4 linked regions of the Saccharomyces cerevisiae S288C genome follow. The gene in region 3 interacts genetically with the main gene of each other region. Each region holds a gene or a part of one and is shown on either strand. Other genes may lie near its edges. The genes, in order: AAT1, CLU1, SDD3 and HIT1.

Region 1 (3,784 bases), on a different chromosome or scaffold from region 3:
GAAATAAAAGCCAATTGTCAAATAGGAACATATCTGGTGGAACAGCCACTTTGGAGTCATCAAATCCTGACCTGCCTACAGCCTTACCATTAAGCGTTCCGGTGACTATCATTGATAAAAATGGAGAGATACACAAGCTTCATAACGATGATGCAGCTATAAAAGATAAGTCGCATGACCGTCACGGTCACAGTAAATTCGGTAGGAAACTGAAAAAAATTTTTGGCAGGAAATGATTTGAAAGAAGAAAACATAGGAAACCTAAAATGAAATGTAAGGATATGATGCACTGCCACCGTAATTAAAATAGTTGGCTAGCGCTAGCTTTCTTTTCATTTAAAATTTAATAACTAGTTCGATCACGAATTAATCCAATCTAGTTATCTGAAAAGTGTATATAGAGTAGATAAAAAAAAGGTTTATTAATTATTACAAAAAATTATTATATTCTATAAATTATTGTGTGGCAAAATGAGAAGGGAAAAGTAATAAAAAAATAAAGACAAAGGTGAACTGTAAGGTGAAAAAATTATGCGAGTTTGTCCATTTTCGAGACTGCTTCAAGAGATTCACATAAGTAATCAACGTTCGAATCATTGACTCCGCTAAGCGACAATCTACCATCACCTGTTAAATAGACGAAGTAATTGTTTCTCAATATTTCGACTTGCTTTGGACTAAACCTTGTATAGTAAAACATACCGTGCTGTTGTGCGAAATTTACAAGATCCGGCCACCCTAGACGGTCAAACATCTCCTGTCTGACGTGATGCAATCTCTGAACCATGAAATCAACATCCTTGAACCATTGCTGTTTCAATTTGAAATCTGATAATACTACATTTACCACACGAGAACCGTATCCTGGTGGAGAAGAATACATACCTCTGACAATCTTTTTTAATTGGGAGTCAATATTTTGCTGCAATGAGTTTTTCTGTTGTAGAGGGTTGAACTTTCCATTGTTCGCAGTTGCCGGCGTGATAACGCTTAAGGAACCAACTCGTTCACCATAAAGGCCCATGTTCTTGGCAAAAGATTGACAAAGAAAGATACCGTTACTCCAATTTGGATATTTATTTACATTGAGACATAGCCTCAATAAATATGCGTCCTTTAGTAAGTTACCAGACTCTAAACCCTGATAAGCCATATCAACAATGGGTACCATTTTTAGCTCATATATAGTATCTATAATCTTTTCCCATTGCTCTTTAGTTGGGTCGAGACCTGTAGGGTTGTGACAACACGCATGCAAGATTATGCAAGGTGGGTTCTTATTGTTTTCTTGCTGGTTGTTATATGCAAAGGTTTTCAATTGCTCAATCCATCCGTCGATGTCTATCTGACCGTCCTTATAATAGGAATACCGGTAAATATTTTCAAAACCATTGTTCTGAAAAATGTTCTTATGATTTGCCCATGATGGGTCAGGTATCCAAATATCTCTTGAAATAAATAATGCCAAGAATTTAGCTGCTACAGCTAGGGCGCCTGTACCACTCAAAGTCTGAACAAAGCTGATTCTATCATGGGCTAAATAAAATGGCCCAAACTGCGGACATGATTCCTTGAACAAAAATTTCATAACGTTTTCCTGAAATTCTTTGGAACCTGTTATTGGTAAATATGAAAGATTCTTATTCAACTCTAAATGAGATTCAATCAATTTTTGAGCTTTTGCAACGGAGGGAAACGTCGTCACTTTGCCCCAACCATCTTTATATATTCCTACGGTCAGGTCAATTTTGTTAACATTTTTTACCTTTTTGAAGTGTTCAGATAACCCCAAGACTTTATCTGGAGGTGCTCTTGGTACTCTACTAAGCGATGACGTGTAGTAGGGCCTCCATAGACTGCAATTAGTAAGCCTCGTCCTCAACATCAAGTCTTTCGGCAGTGAAAAACGGATAGTAATTTTCAAATGAGAAGGGAAAACGCACTCAATAGTATGCTATCGTTCAATCCGCTATCGTCTATTCTGTATTTTTTTTTTCTTTTCAATTGCGACGGTTAGCAATTAGATAACCAAGACAGAGAGAGCGAATACTTGCTAGCAATTTATATACGTAAGCGAAAAATGTAAAAAAAAATATGAAAAATGCGGCATCCTAAATATTGGAGCAAAGCAGAATAGTGCTTCCATACTCCAAGATGCCATTTCCGTCGATATTACATCTGACAATAGGAAGATATGCGAGCTATGACTCCAACAATCACATGAGACGGCGTGCAAAACTCATGGAAGCCATCTTCCGCATCCGAACAATATGAATCATCGACGATGGTCGCATGCAAACGCCCTTTAAAAAGTGAAATATTTAAATATAAACCAATTAGTTACAGCAAGTCATTCGTTACTGGAAGTGAAAGGACTTTGATTACGCAAGGCCTTTTCAACTAGAAGTTCCGAATTTTCCATAAACTTCTCAACAACATCTTTGGTCAAACCAGGCGAAGGTAAAATAGCATCGCCTTTGTTGCTGAACATTGTACCACTGCGTGATTCGATAGCGGGGCTCGCAATCAGGGTGCATATTGTTTTCGCATACGTCTCTGCGCTTTGACAGGTCCAGCTGATTATCCATTCTGTAATGCGGCTGAGGTAGGTGTCACTGCCAAGAAGATTATTACGAATGTTCGTTTTGATCAGCCCAGGGTTCAAACCGAAAGTATCTATATTCGTGTATCTGTCTTTAGCGTCTATGACCAGACTTTCATTGGCTGCCACAGTGTTCATATGTGTAGCGTAGGCACTATACTTCTTTTCATCAGAATTCAAGTCATCTGGGTCTCCCACCTGACCATTTCCTGGAAACCCTGCTATGAAAACTTTTGGCAAATCGTCTTTTTTTGTCCTACTAATTCCTAATCGCTTCGCCACATCATGGAAGATAATGTATCTACTCAAATAGCTCACTGCCATGTCTTTTTCCAAACCCTCACTTGTAGCTTGTCTCTGGCGTGATGCAAAAATACCCGTAGTGAAAATCAGATGTGTTAACTCCTCGTAGGGAATTTCATCACTATGAGATATACGCTTGCATTCTGACACTAAACTTAAATCAGCCTTGACAAAGTTAATTTTATCTTTTAGGTCCTCGTCCCTAAAAGTTTGCCCGACAACAGTAACCCTGGCATTTCTTTGGGCCAGCTCTCTACTTATTGCACGTCCAAGTCCACCTGTGCCACCAATTATGGCCACATTAAAACGACTAAAATCAATGTCATTGATATTTTTTCTTTCCCAACTGACGGTGGGATCCTTTTTCCAGAACATCCTGCTAAATGCGCCAATATACTATTATTAGTTTTTCCTTGATACGTGGTAATATTCTGTTTGTTGGTTCACCTTTTCATTCACTTGAATTGTTTTAAATTTTGTATTTATACCTCTGCCGATTATTCCTCCCCTAATTGATGATTGCAGATTATGTAATATATATACATATATGGACGAGGCCCCTAATTGAACAACAAAAATAAAAAGTGTAAAAACATGCTAGTCTCTATATTGATAAAAATACGTATGATGTCCATATAAACTATACGTCATGCAGCTGAAGGAATCTAACTGAATACTTAATAGGTTTCTATAAATTACAAATGTTTGTATTATTTACGCCATCACGCTCACCTTCTTCCCCATCGTCCATTAGAGAATCGGTTTTTCTTTGGCAGTTTTAGTCTTCTGAAGTTATTGCTCACTAGATTATACTTCTTTCTACCCTTTCGCTTAGCCGTAGGCTTTTGCTCTGAGCTTACAACGCCGCTGCTTGCCTCC
Region 2 (5,962 bases), on a different chromosome or scaffold from region 3:
ACTCTTCGGAATATCAACACCTTTATTAATGAATAACTCTCCAATGGGTCTAATAGGATTGGGAATTGGTGATTCCTTAGCATCTATTATTGGTAAAAGGTATGGCCGCATTCGTTGGAAAGGTACACAAAAAACTTTAGAGGGAACTCTTGCGTTTATAGTAACGAGTTTTATCGTTTGTTTGGTATTGTTACGTTTTGATAAAGCTGCAATTTTTAACCACCTAACTACTTTACAATTGCTTACCCTTTGTACACTGAGTGGAGTGCTAGAAGGTAATAGTGTGCTTAATGACAATATTTTGATACCTGCATTTATGATGATTTGTGAAAAATTAATTACTCTTTGACAAAGTCAATTATTTTCAACTTTTAAAATTACATAACTAATTGTTTGCATTTATGAATAGAATAAAGAAAAGAATAGAGCAGTAAAGAAAAAAAAATAATTGTAAGTATTTTTTTTTCGTTTTATATCTAGTACTTACACGTAGTATATACAAGTATGGGCTATAGATATAAAGAAAAATAATAAATAAACGAGATTGTTAAGTTAGCTCTCTATTTCTTACCATGCTTCTTTTTATTGTTGGTTTTGTTTTTGCTCTTAGAGTTGGAAGAATCGCCTTCTATAAATGTTAACAACTCATCCACACTTTTGTTAGCCAATTCAGGTTTAACGTCATCCTTCTTTTGACGGTGATTGGTTTTTTTATGGCCAGCTGAATTTGATCCCGTTGTCGACATTTGATCTTGTGCAAGTTGCTTCTTTTGTTTTAAATCCATTATTAATGAGCTTAAACCATTAACCCACTGTCTTGATTGGGCTGAGTGCGTGTGATTCATACCCAATTGCTTGGTGAAAATCCCTTGGGTTACAGTGATGTGCTCTAATGCACGGTGGAAATCCTTCAATGCTGCAAACAAATTACCTAAACGTGACTCGGTATAGCCATATGCTAATGAATCTTTGCCTTCTAATTCCACAACATAGGAGCTTAGTTGTCCCAAGACTTCAATAGCCAATTTGGTATCTTGAACACCTAGGGCTAATTGTTCCAAATGGTTGAAAATGCTTGTGGGGGCTGGGTGATGGATTTTTGGTAACTCATAAACTTTTAGGATTTCTGCGAGCCTATTATAAACCACAGTAGCGTTATAAGGACTTTCATTAGAGAATTCTAGAATTGCTAAATTAGTTAAAGCCCTCATCATTTCAAAAGAATCAATACCGCTAACTCTTTCATAAATAGTACATGCTTTACGACAGAACGCGATAGCTTCAGGGTATAATGCTAACTTATTATAAATGGCAGATAATGACAAGTACTTTTCAGCAACGGCGGGATGTAAAATATTGTTAACATCTTCTAAGACTGTAATTGATTGAGCGAGTAAAGTCAAAGCACTTTGTTTGTCTTCGTTGATCATAGAAGCACCTTGAGCCCAAAATTCCTCACTAACTGAAGAAGTATATTCTGAGAACTTAACACGTGGAATAATGGTCAAATCGCTTAAACTGAAGGTAGTTGGTGGTTCGACAAACTTGTTCCTAATTTTCTTGTCAAGACTTTGCTTATAACTTTCCAATTGTTCTCTAGTAAAGAAGTATTCTTTATTGAGCAATTGAATACCAAATTTGTAAGAAACACTTCTAATGAGGGTGAAAGGATTTTCCATGTAAGCTTCGATCCAATTGGATGGTAATTGATGACGGAAACGCAAGAAGGCTTGTTTAGAGACAGCTTCCAGCAATTCGGAGCGTGTTAATTTAGCAAATGAGCACTTATTGACTGGATAAAATTCGTCGACTGGTTCTGGCTTCGGATCAGCATTGTAGTTGATACCAACTAACATATTGAAAACGTATGCTACCAGTGATGGAACCAAGAAGACCGGAACATCTTTACTCAAATCTTTTAAAACATGTTTCAAAGAACGCGAAACAATTTCTAATTCGGAAATTTTAATTAATGGCACTAGCTCATCATAGGCAACGACCACAGGTTTTCCATCGGTGGGCTTTTTGATTTCTTCATCGTTTAATTTCAAATCTTCAGTTAGTTCTTTTGGAACCTCTTTGCCTTCTTGTACCAGCTTATTAATCTTGGCTTGTCTCTCTTTAATCATGTTCTCAATTTTTTGCAGATAAGATTTTTCCCAATCCTCATATTCTTTGTTGTCTTGTTCAACAGCTTTCAAATTTTGTTCGTAGTGGACAATTTGGGAGTCCAATTCCTTTTGAGAAAGCTCGATAATTTTACCCAAGTAACGCATGTTGATACCATTCTTATGTAAAGTATCGGCTAAATGTTCACCATTATAAGGAGTGCTCAAATTTCCAGATAAATAATCTTGAATAACGCTGGGAATAACTTCTTTTTGTAAGTAGTTCGACATTTCGTCAACATTAGCGTCCTCAATACCTTCGACCTGGTAAGCATCAGGGTTATAACTAAACAAATTTTCTTCATAGGCCTTTTCAAATTCAACACCTTCCTTCTCAACTTTATTATTCCACCACTTTTCTACTAACTCCGGACGTAACAAAGTTTGCCTGTGTGGGTAACGGTTTCCAGTCTCTTCGATGTTGTCAAAGTTTTGTCTAGCAAAGTTGATGTCCAAGGGATACGTGTTGGCTAAATCCAAAATATAGCGCCTCTTATCGAATCCAACTATTCCCTTGGATTGCGATGAAAATGCTAATTCAGTACCGTTGACTTTGTGCTTTTTCAAATGGAATGCCTTGACAAACTTTTTTTCTAAAACAGAATCAAAGTCAGCATCATAAACAATCTTTCCCAAACCTTCATCAAGGCCGTACTTTACATTAATATCATTGACAAAATCTTCGGTAACCTCTTCGCCGGTATTAGCATCTTTTACAATTTTGTTACCCATGGTAGCTAAGAGTCCAGGTACTGGAGTTTGAGCCAAAATTCTTCTGCCTGCAAATTCGACTACAGTTGTTAAAAGATAACGAACTTCGTGCATATGCAAGCGATTCAAAATATTGATTGTCTTCAAGTCTTGGTTGGAAGCAGCGATTGCAGCTTCATCCCCACCTTTCCCTTCATAATTGCCACTAACGTCGGAAACATAGGAATAAAAGATATTGTCTTTTAAGAAAATTTGATCCCGAGTTGGAGATTCTGGGTTCATTGCAACGAAATCACTGTAAAAAATTGACATAGCGCCTGATGCTGCAGTAACAGAAAATTCATGTACAACTTTAGAAAACAACCTTTCCATTTCAATACGATCTTGTAATGTTGACGTAGTCAAATCTTTAATGGCTTGAAATTCATCATTAAAGTTTCTTTCTGGCGTGGTATCCAAGGCGGCAGTTTGTAACCTCAGATAATCTGGGTTATTTGGTGGCAATGAAGAAACAAACCATGGTTTATGCAAGAAAGTATTGCTTGGTCTTACATAGCTTGTAGAATCTAAAGCAGATAGTTTTTTCTCGAATGCTTGGACATGAGAAATGAATTTTTTAGAGCGAGAAGCAATCAAGTCAAATAGACTGTAATAGATCAGGGATGAGTGCGCGTTCTCGTCAGTGTTTTCTTTTGGAGAAGGATCGAACTTAGTTGAGTTTGATTTATTGACATAGAATCCAGATGGAATTGCAGTGATATAGAAACTCTCACCTTCCAAAGTGACAATTTGTAGGTAAAATAGATGACCTTTACTTCTATAAAATGGAGGTACAGGATTGTAAGGTGCGAAACTCAAAGACCTGACGCACGGCGTGATGATGTTGGATTCAGAGGTGAGAAGTTTGTTAATTGAAGAATTCTTAAAGCTAGAAAACACTTCGTGAACCATCTCGTTAAATTTTAGTTTTTCCTCGTCAGTCACATCTTTGAAAGTATTTTTCTTTTCTTCTGGATCGCTCTTCTCGTCTTTTTCTTCTTGTTTTGAGCGTTCCTTGATAGGACCCAACGGTAACGAGGAAAAGCTTGAACCAGTAGAAATAGCAAATTCAGATAATCCATCTGAGGTTTCTTGGGCAAATCCGATGAAATCGCGAACAGTAATCACATGTTTCAAAGCCTCTCTTGCGCTATATGGCTTCAGTATCAATTGAAGTTTTAACTCGCTTTTCTCACCAACAATTTCCTTTATAGACATTTCATCAGATAGCTGGGAGTCACCTTCAATTGTTTTCAGCCCAACGTTTGTCAGGTACTTGGAACTTGGAATCATAGCCAACACATCTAGAACAGTTTGAATTTTGGATTCCTTGCCGATTTCAAAAGATATATCATTATTTTTTGAACTTTGGGTCTTTTTGAGATGTTTCGTATTATGCGAATGGTTATCTTCTTTTGGAAGTTTGACAGTCACCTTAACGGTGGCGTTTTTAACTTCTTCTTTTTTCTCGCTCATAGAGATTAAAGATATGCAGTCTCAGATAAACTGTAACACTACGCTGATTTGATTCGTTCTGTAAACAAATTACAGCTCAATTACTACTCTGTGTTTAGTGAACCTTATATCCAATCTTCACTGCAGACAATTTCCTTTTTTGAGAATACTTCGAAGCGTATAATTTCCAAGAAATGGTATCCGTTTTATTGGCCATGTTTGACCGGAAAAAACCTTGGTCGACGTGAAGAAAAAAATTTTCAAATTTCTTCAAAAAGAAAACTCCGCTACGGGGAGTCGAACCCCGGTCTCCACGGTGAAAGCGTGATGTGATAGCCGTTACACTATATCGGATTATATTTCACTGTTGATATTTTTCGTAGAGAACTCCTTATCGAGTTATTAAAGAAACGATCATATCAATTGTTCTATTTTTACATAACTACTCTGACATTATAGTTTCATAAAGCACTGCTACTTATATATTTGGAATTTCTGTGTACCTAATATTATAGTCCTTATCCCCAACGGTTGAACCCAAACAATCATCAAATCATGCACAAGTTTCTCAGCTATCCCATTTCAACTATGATAAAGGTTCATCTTCAAAGTGTATCCATTCAATCCAGTAAATGCAATCATTTCGCTGTATATGACGATATATTGGTGATATGAATGCTAGTCGATAGATTATTGTTTAATTTTGTTCTAACTCGCCAGAAAGAACCAACTGTTTACTTGAAGCTAATTTCCTTGCTTGGTTGGTGACTTATTTATTATTTTTCATAATTAGTTAATTAGTGATCATATGAAGTAATCAGCCACAATACGCCATTGATGCTTGAAGGCGAAAAACAATATATGATTACGTGATATGTGGCACAGTAAAGTTAAAGATTCATTATTACTTCAACGAGAAACTTGACGTCTCATGTATAAGGATATGAGTCGTTACATTGAAAATACAGTAAATGGTTCCACCATTATTATGTTGGTCTTGTTTAGTATGGCCGATCGGCGTGTGTTTTGTTTGCACCTTTTATATAGTAGAAGAATATTTGTCTTAATTCTTATTAGTACTGCAACCTAACCACTAATTATCAACAATTATTGGATTATATAAAGGAGGTAAATTGCCGGATTAAAATCAAATATCATTCATCAACAAGTATTCATATTGTCGGCATATTTTTACATGCGGTGTAAGTATTTGGATCGTATTCTTATAGTGTCAATACCTCGAAGCAGCGTTTCAAGTACCAGACGTATGTAGGAACTTTTTAACGTCGAGTCCGTAAGATTTGATCAGTATTAAAAAAATCTAGATAAATGAGTGGTACAAATAAAAACATCATTAAAAATCGTTAAATAAAAAAGTATGAAGATCATCTATTAAAGTATTAGTAGCCATTAGCCTTAAAAAAATCAGTGCTAGTTTAAGTATAATCTCTTATTCCTCGGAAACTCTTTTTTCTTTTGAGATCCAGCTACCAGATTTCCATGGTTTGACACCTTCAACATACATTTCATTAACTTCCTCTAATGTTAAGCCCTTGGTTTCACAGACAAAGAAAAACACGTAGAAGAAT
Region 3 (5,527 bases):
TCCTTCGCCAAAACCCAGGACGCATAGCCAATCTCCATCAATTTCAAAGCACAATTCGTTTTCTGAATCGATTAATAGCGCTAAGAGCAACAGATCAAGCAGAATTTTTGAAACCTTTATCAATGCCAAGGAACAAAATTCAAAAAAACACGCTGCTCCAGTACCGTTAACCAGTAAATTAGTTAACGGATTGCCAAAAAGACAAGTTACCGTGGGATTAGGTCTAAACACAGGAACAAATTTCAAAAACTCATCTGCAAAATCGAAGAGGTCGTAATTAGTAATTTTATCTAATGTTTTCATCAAGCTACTTAAATACTCTAAAAATAAATATATGAGGAATTTCAAGTACTCATATAAATATAATAATAATTCTCGATCAATCAAATGAAAGAGCGCCGTAAGGCAGAATCCCAGAATTCGAAAAGAATGAGACAATGCTCCTTTTGCTATTTATTGAATGCAGATAATACGCACTGTTTCTGTGTTGAAAGTGAAGCTGAAATGGAGGTCATGTACTCACGCATTTTCGTCTTCTTCACTATCAATTTCGTCATCGTCATCTTCTAGCTCTTCTATTTCGACAGTGAAACCTTGAGTTTCAAAGAATTCTTGAACTGATTCCAATTTAGCTGGATGACAGCTCACAAAGGCAACGCTTTTATTGGAATCAAACATGTTGACAAAATATTTCTGCATGGCATTTTTCAGATCTGTTTTGGTAACATTCTGCAACCTTTCCAAATACAATTCATTGAAGTTGTTCCCCCTTTGCAAACAGAATTCATCAACATATTTGGACAGGGCTGTTTCAAAGTATCCGCATTCGATAGTAGCCAGCCTGTTAATAATACTACTGATGGCACCTTGGATTAACTGCTCATCAAATTCCAAGGCACCTGATGCATAATCTTGAACAATCTGTTTTCCAACTTCATAACATTTAATAATATCAGCGCCGCGGTAAATATTGAATCCCCAAGAATTTATCTCACATAATTTTAACATGCTGGCACCATAGGCCAATCCGGCACCACGGATTCCCTTCCAAAATGGACCTTCAACACATTCTAGATATTCGGAAGCCAATGAGACAATAGCGTATTCGGGATCATGGTAGTCCAAGTTAAATGGGATAGACGTTATTAGATTCATATAAGCAGATTCTGAGGCGGGAGTAGTTATTATAAAGGCCTTTTCACCAGGTGTTCTGCAAATCGATGAAATGGTATCTAGGGCTCTTGGAACTGGTGGAATTTTTAACTTCTCAACTGGATGTGCAATGTTCAAGCACTTAATTAAGGGATTCCATGGTTCATAAACGTCATCGATCTTTGAGATGTCACCAAGAACCAAAATATGAAACTTGTTGAAATTTGCTCTCAGTTGCTTTCTCATTGTTTCTATTCTTGGCAAAATTTCTTTCTCAAAGTTGCCATTCTCAATTTCTGCAAAAATCTCTTGTAATTTTGCTTCAACAAATAATGGATCGGTGGATTTTTTCAGCGATCTTGCCGAATAGAGATTTCTGTTAGTTAAAGAACTTAACATAACATTACCATTTCTTTTCCATTCTACAATAGAATTCAAATAATTCTCCAGCAGAATACGAACACGATTTTCATCAAAAACCATGTCAAATAGGCAGTGCTTGATCCATTGAACAGAGTTAGAGTAACCCCCAGCTCTACATTGAATTTTAAAATTAATAAGGTCAGGACAAGAACCCTTCAAACCTTGGTTGATCTGTGCGTCAATAGTTTCTGATTTTAACTTGGCGACAACTTCCTCAAACGAGAGCATAGTTTCTACATTACTCTCCTCATCAAGGATTTTCATTGGCATGGAAAATAGCTCGTCAAACATATTAAAATATGGTAAAAGCGAGGTATCCTTAATAGATGCGGAGTTGACCAAAAAATGCAGCTCTATAAATTGAGACGGGAAATGATTTAAGTGAATGAAAAGAGGAAAATTGTCTGGCCTCGTTTCTAAAATTTTTTTGGTCAGCGGATCACTAACATTATTGTATTTATACGAATCGACAGTTGCAATGCTTTTCGTGTTGACAAATTCAACACTCTTTGAAGGATTATCAATCTCAAATTTCTGTAGTAGAGATTTCGGAATTGGCCTATCATTAATATTTTTTGCATTGTTCAATCTTTTCAATAAAACCAGTTTCTTTTCATCATCAAATTCAGCTTCTCTTTGTTTGATCAAATCCGATTTTTCTTTCTCTAGTTGTTCATACATCAAAGCGCTTGGTTTAGCGGTAACTATGATAGGTTTGTTGTCTACGAATATTCTGTTCAGCAAAGATTGCCAGTCCTTTTGGGACCATTGTAATAAAGCATCAAAATCACTTAAATCCTTGAGAGAAGACACTAATGAAGAACCATCTTCATTACCATAAATATAGTCGGTAATCACAGCACTAGAAAAACGACTCTCGCCATTTTTTTCATAGTTCAGCAAATATTCCCATTTAGTATTTTCAACTACCTGTCTAACTCTTGATAAATCAATGGTATGGGTTTTCAAAATCTCCAGTACCTTGGTCTTTGTTGCTGCTATTTTTTCTGTTGGGACACCTTGGATACGAAGATCAATTATGGTTCTCATGAAATAATCAGTGCAACAATCAGTGGAATTTGCCATGGGATCGTCAATTTCAACCAGTTCTCTTGTAAACACTGCCAATGCAGAGTCAGTAAAGTAATCTAATAGCACATCAACCGCTAGGTCATTACGAAAATCTGAGTAGGGAACACCAATCCAAGAAAAGAGTAATTCACCCTGACTTTCATCAAGTTCAGGAAATTCTACAGTAGATTCCGTAACTTTATCTCTAGATTGCGGTATGTGCGAAAGCTTGTTGTCCAAAAATGGTCTTTTCTTTGGTATATTCGATGGAATCTCCGGCAATTTGTTATCCCATTCTTCCATGACGGTTAACAGTTCATCTGTTGGTACGTTACCACAAACAATGACACAAAGATTATCAGAAGAATACAGAGATTTGTGAAATTGTCTGATTTCGTCGTTGGTTAAGGTTCTTAAATTTTTCGTTAGCCCACCAGTTTCTGACCGATAGCCACTTCCTTCAGGAAACATTAATCGCTGCTTTTCTAACCCTGAAATGTACCAGCCCTGAGTTTCAATGGCTTCCATTTCACTAAATACCACACCTTTATCACCCAAATTTTCCGGGTCGATGTGATAAACCTCAGTTAAACAAGCCTCGTCTGTTAAAGTTGGATGTAGGATGTGATCTAGATAAGCAGGTAGCAACTTTGAGAATCCCTTCCAGCCAGCACTGCTTAATGTATAAACAGTTTGGTCGGTATCAGTCCAAGCATTGGTGTTAGACAAAGACAGATTACCAGCTGTGTCTAATAAACCTTTGTATGGGTAAGATTTAGAACCCATGAAGATCAAATGCTCCAAGGTATGCGGAGCACCTGAATCATTAAGACATTCTGTAGGAACAGCAAAGTAACCGTGAACCAATGGGGAGGTTTTGTGGTTTATATGTACCAGTTGCAGTTTAGTTCGTTCCGAGATATATTTAGTTATATGGTATTGTGGGACATAATCCGGTTGGAATGATACGAGCTTCTTGAACCCCATTGTGAAGATTCGACGAACTGTGTTGAAAGTGCGTATAATTGGTCTTCGTGCCGTTTTTTGGGTCACTTTCAACTTTTCAGCGAGTAGTTTCTCTCACTATATCTTACGCTCTGTTAAAATCTTTTGCCACTACTTCAAAATTACGATCTATGGGATGAAAAATTTACATGAATTTACCAATACTCGGAAAAATGCAGGACAAGAAATAAGAACATTTGTATAATACAAGAGACGCATATACACATACCTACTCAGATAAGTTTAACGAGTTTCTCTTCCATAGGAGGGTCTAATCTCCTTCAGAAGTCTAACGTCTAAAAGTTCGTAAAGAATATCATCATAAAGTATGGTATACAAAATTTACTGTGCAACAACAGCACAATGCAGTCCATGATCTGCTCATCTGAGCACGAAAACCTAACCTGCAAGTACTGGCCTGTTAGCTTCCTCGCTTCTTGGTGTGAGAATGGGTCTGGCACACTGATGCAGAAAGATGGTAGTCTTTTATATGCCGTGAAAAATTTTTCCCATATATTTGAAAAAAAAATTTTTCATACCAATCTATAGAAATAGTGAGGTCAGGAGACATCGCAACACTATTGTTCTATTGCATTATTTTTTTAGTGTTAAACTACAATTTCGGATTCTATATCATTGTATATAATAGCGTCAGAATAAGCGTGACTACTTACTTCTTTTCTTGCTTAGTTTTTGGCTTAGGTGCGACAAGTCTTTCCTTTTCGCCCCAAACCAACTTATGTGGGACCATGAATTTGTCCAAGGTCTCTTCGTCCACCTGAGCTCTGCGTTCCTGGAACGCCTTAACGAATTCTTGCAGAGTCTCGATACACAGTTTCTTCATTTCACCTGATAGTAATTCACCGGACTTATATTTGTCATAGCATTCCTTCAAGAAAACATCGTCATCCTTGAAAAATGACAAGTATTGGTATGCAACATCGACATCGGGATTACCACCTAATTCTCTATGTAGGTCGGCGGACACTTGACCACCGCTGAATGCGTACTTGTTAATTTTCTTTTGAATTTGCTTTGGTGTATCGGTCATGAAAATGGCAGTGGTATCATCAGAGGCTGACATTTTGGTCGTGGAACCTTGCAAAGCTGGAAAGAATCTGGAATGAAGCAAAGCAGGTTTGGAGTACTTCAATTTATCCGCGACATCCCTACAAACTCTGAAATATGGATCTTGGTCAATTGCACATGGAATCAAACATGGTGTCTTATCAGGCAAGCCTAACACATTAGGAAATGAGCTTGGGAATGCGGTAGCAATTTGAATGGAGGCAAAATGGAACTTACCAATACAGTCGGAGTCATTAAACCCGAAAACAGCCTTTGCAGTGGATCCTGTAATTTGTCTGGAAACTCTTACTACAGTTTCGTAAAATGCACCACCCATGTATTGCAAATCAGAAAAGATAAAGGTGTTCTTTGGATCAAAGCCAACAGCAATGATATCCTTGGCATTTTCACGGGCAAAATTCTTAACGTCATTGATGGTCAACTTGTGTTTGAATAAAAATTTTTCGTCATCTGTCAACTCTATGACTAATGGTACGTCAAACACTTCCTGTAACCATTTGGTGAAGACAAAAGGGATCATATGACCCAAGTGCATAGAATCGCTCGAAGGACCTCTACCAGTGTATAGGAAAAATGGTTTGCCTTGTTCGTAAAGGTCTAATATTTTAGTGAAGTCACGCTCACTGAAAAACAATCCCTTACGCAAAAAATGATGTGGTTCACGACCCGTCACTTGCTTGAATCTCTTCAGGGTTTCTTCGTTGACCGGCTTAGTACCGAATTGTTTGATCAATTTGTCGTAATCAATATTTTGGGCTCTACCTTGTTCATCAACCCCACCTTCCAC
Region 4 (2,625 bases), on a different chromosome or scaffold from region 3:
TGAAAGTAATGATATAAAGAAAGCAAAAATACAAAGCAGAAGCGTAAATACTCCAAAATATGAGGATTTGTCTTCTTCTGACATTTTCAACAAAATACACTCTGCTGGACAATTAAAATCTACAACTTCTATGGAGTTTCACGGGCCATTAGATTCTATGCCAAATACAACAAACAACATCCGTAATTTTAATAGCAACAGTAGTAGACCTAGACCACCTCCTTTACAGACAAAAAGTTCGATTAATTCAAAAGCTGACTCGAATGATAATGGAAGGATTTATACACCAATGAAAGCGTACTTCAGGGAGCCTGATCTTCCGAGGAAGGGTTTGCTGGAAGATGAAGATCGTACATATAATTATACTTAATAGGCTGGCAAAAGCCCTTTGCATATTTCATGAATTAGATAGACGTGATTAGAAACAGCCGTTAGTATGTTTCTGATAAAAATAATACTTTTTTTGTAACACTATTTTCATATATTGGATTGATACCGGTTATAGCACAAACATAACAGCCATGAAAGTTTCTTTGAAAACCCCTTTTAACATTTGCTTGTAAGAGATAGGTTAATTTTTTATAGTTGCTGAGATTCCATTGTTGGTAAAGACTTAATATTAGGTATACAGAATATACTAGGAGTTCTCTCTGGGTATGTAGGAATCCACAAAAGGGTGTCACTAGTTCAACATAATAACATCTTTTTTTTATTCCTTCTTTGATATTTTGTCATATTATCCTATTATTTTATCAATCCTTGCATTTCAGCTTCCAATAGATTTGATATTTGTTTCTCAATATTATGTCATCTTCATACACAGTATGTGATAATATACTAGTAACATGAATACTACTAAATGAGTACTACCTTAGGGGTTCATTACAGCAGCTTAAGCGAAAGTAGAAAATGAGGCGGATATTTGTTGGAATAAAAATCAACTATCATCTACTAACTAGTATTTACGTTACTAGTATATTATCATATACGGTGTTAGAAGATGACGCAAATGATGAGAAATAGTCATCTAAATTAGTGGAAGCTGAAACGCAAGGATTGATAATGTAATAGGATCAATGAATATTAACATATAAAATGATGATAATAATATTTATAGAATTGTGTAGAATTGCAGATTCCCTTTTATGGATTCCTAAATCCTCGAGGAGAACTTCTAGTATATCTACATACCTAATATTATTGCCTTATTAAAAATGGAATCCCAACAATTACATCAAAATCCACATTCTCTACAATATTGATTTCCATCGTGTAAGTTTTCTGCACGAAGTTTATTCATTCAATTTGAAGTGCTTCGTAATAATATTACTATGCAACTTAGGTACCTCATATTTCTTAGAGTTCAACCAAGTTGGTTCCGTTGGCGTAATGGTAACGCGTCTCCCTCCTAAGGAGAAGACTGCGGGTTCGAGTCCCGTACGGAACGTTGATTATTTTTTTTTTTTCGTTTCTTTATAGAAAAAATTCAGACGATATTACCTTGCGATGAGATAATCTTACCGCAGAAAGAGTGCCACAGTGGTAATAACTAGTTGAAGGTTCATATTATATAAAAAACTCTAAGAATAAAAATGGTATCTAGTGCAGTTAAATGTGGCATATGTCGCGGAGTTGATGGTAAATATAAATGTCCTAAATGTGGCGTACGATATTGCTCCTTGAAATGCTATAAAGATGCTGCAAAGCATGTTCATAAGGAAAGCGAACAACCCAGGGCTGGTACAGAAGCTAATGTGGAAGTTGTTAATAACGATAAGATCATAAACAGTTCACTCGCAATGAATAAAACATTAAAGACGAAGGCATTCGATGATATATATCAAAATAGCGCAGAATTGCAAGAGCTGTTGAAATACAACACGGTGAAGTTCCATTTGGCAAAGGTTTATAGAATTTTGTCCAGTACTGTTAACGATGGAAGTTCTGGAAAAATGAACAGCGATCTACAAAAAGAACTAGCTGTAAATTATTTGAATACATTACGATATGGTGGTATACATTATAATGAAGCAATTGAGGAATTTTGCCAGATTTTATTAGATAAATTAAATGCGGTGAAGAAATAAGAATTATCGTTGTTAGCATGATTTTTAAGATTGAGCATTTTATTCATTTTTAACCATATAATAGTGAAGGTGAGGACTAATAACAAAGTACTTGTTGAAAGGGTCGGGTTGCTTTTAGGTTTTTTCTTCTCGTTAAGGATTTCCCACTTGTCTGGCAAGGCGTCAAGCAGACTTGGAAAATAATGATATTATGTCAGAATTTTTGTGTGAGGCGCTTCTATTGCAAGTTTGTGACACCTTATAATAAAAGTGAACCATGTATTTACATATGATTAGGGAAAGTTCCACCATCATCTTATGATCTTCATGGCCGTTTTGGTCTTCTTTTTAACTTGAAGTCCAACTTGGCGACTGTACATATATACATATATATAGCAATAAGTATAACAAGGCAACAAATCAGGTCCCATTATTTAATTTGAAGTCATCTACTGCCCCATAAGAACCTCTATATTATCAGTAGATTCTTTCTTTTAGGGAAATCGAACCTCGATATTGTAAGAGAAACCCGCGCCACTCCTAAAAAGGTATTTTGAAG

Evidence for each region.
Region 1: mutations in SDD3 (region 3) and AAT1 together harm fitness more than expected from each alone (negative genetic interaction), as found in Saccharomyces cerevisiae (one large-scale study listed by BioGRID).
Region 2: mutations in SDD3 (region 3) and CLU1 together harm fitness more than expected from each alone (negative genetic interaction), as found in Saccharomyces cerevisiae (one large-scale study listed by BioGRID).
Region 4: mutations in SDD3 (region 3) and HIT1 together harm fitness more than expected from each alone (negative genetic interaction), as found in Saccharomyces cerevisiae (one large-scale study listed by BioGRID).

The regions. Positions count from the first base shown.
Region 1 is NC_001143.9:235,637-239,420, reverse strand, and holds AAT1 (aspartate transaminase AAT1), read right to left. Parts: upstream 1,886-3,784; coding exon 530-1,885; downstream 1-529. Other genes in the region: SEG2 (Seg2p), read left to right, coding at 1-236; YKL106C-A (uncharacterized protein), read left to right, coding at 2,155-2,274; YKL107W (putative short-chain dehydrogenase/reductase), read right to left, coding at 2,351-3,280; SLD2 (Sld2p), read right to left, coding at 3,634-3,784. UniProt on the Saccharomyces cerevisiae protein: Plays a key role in amino acid metabolism. Important for metabolite exchange between mitochondria and cytosol.
Region 2 is NC_001145.3:289,566-295,527, reverse strand, and holds CLU1 (translation initiation factor 3 subunit CLU1), read right to left. Parts: upstream 4,395-5,962; coding exon 561-4,394; downstream 1-560. Other genes in the region: SEC59 (dolichol kinase), read left to right, coding at 1-349; hexose transporter HXT2, read right to left, coding at 5,824-5,962. UniProt on the Saccharomyces cerevisiae protein: mRNA-binding protein involved in proper cytoplasmic distribution of mitochondria.
Region 3 is NC_001147.6:132,206-137,732, forward strand, and holds SDD3 (Sdd3p), read right to left. Parts: upstream 3,634-5,527; coding exon 520-3,633; downstream 1-519. Other genes in the region: serine/threonine protein kinase PKH2, read left to right, coding at 1-277; YOL097W-A (uncharacterized protein), read left to right, coding at 4,015-4,200; tryptophan--tRNA ligase WRS1, read right to left, coding at 4,322-5,527.
Region 4 is NC_001142.9:537,180-539,804, forward strand, and holds HIT1 (Hit1p), read left to right. Parts: upstream 1-1,592; coding exon 1,593-2,087; downstream 2,088-2,625. Other genes in the region: KCH1 (Kch1p), read left to right, coding at 1-370.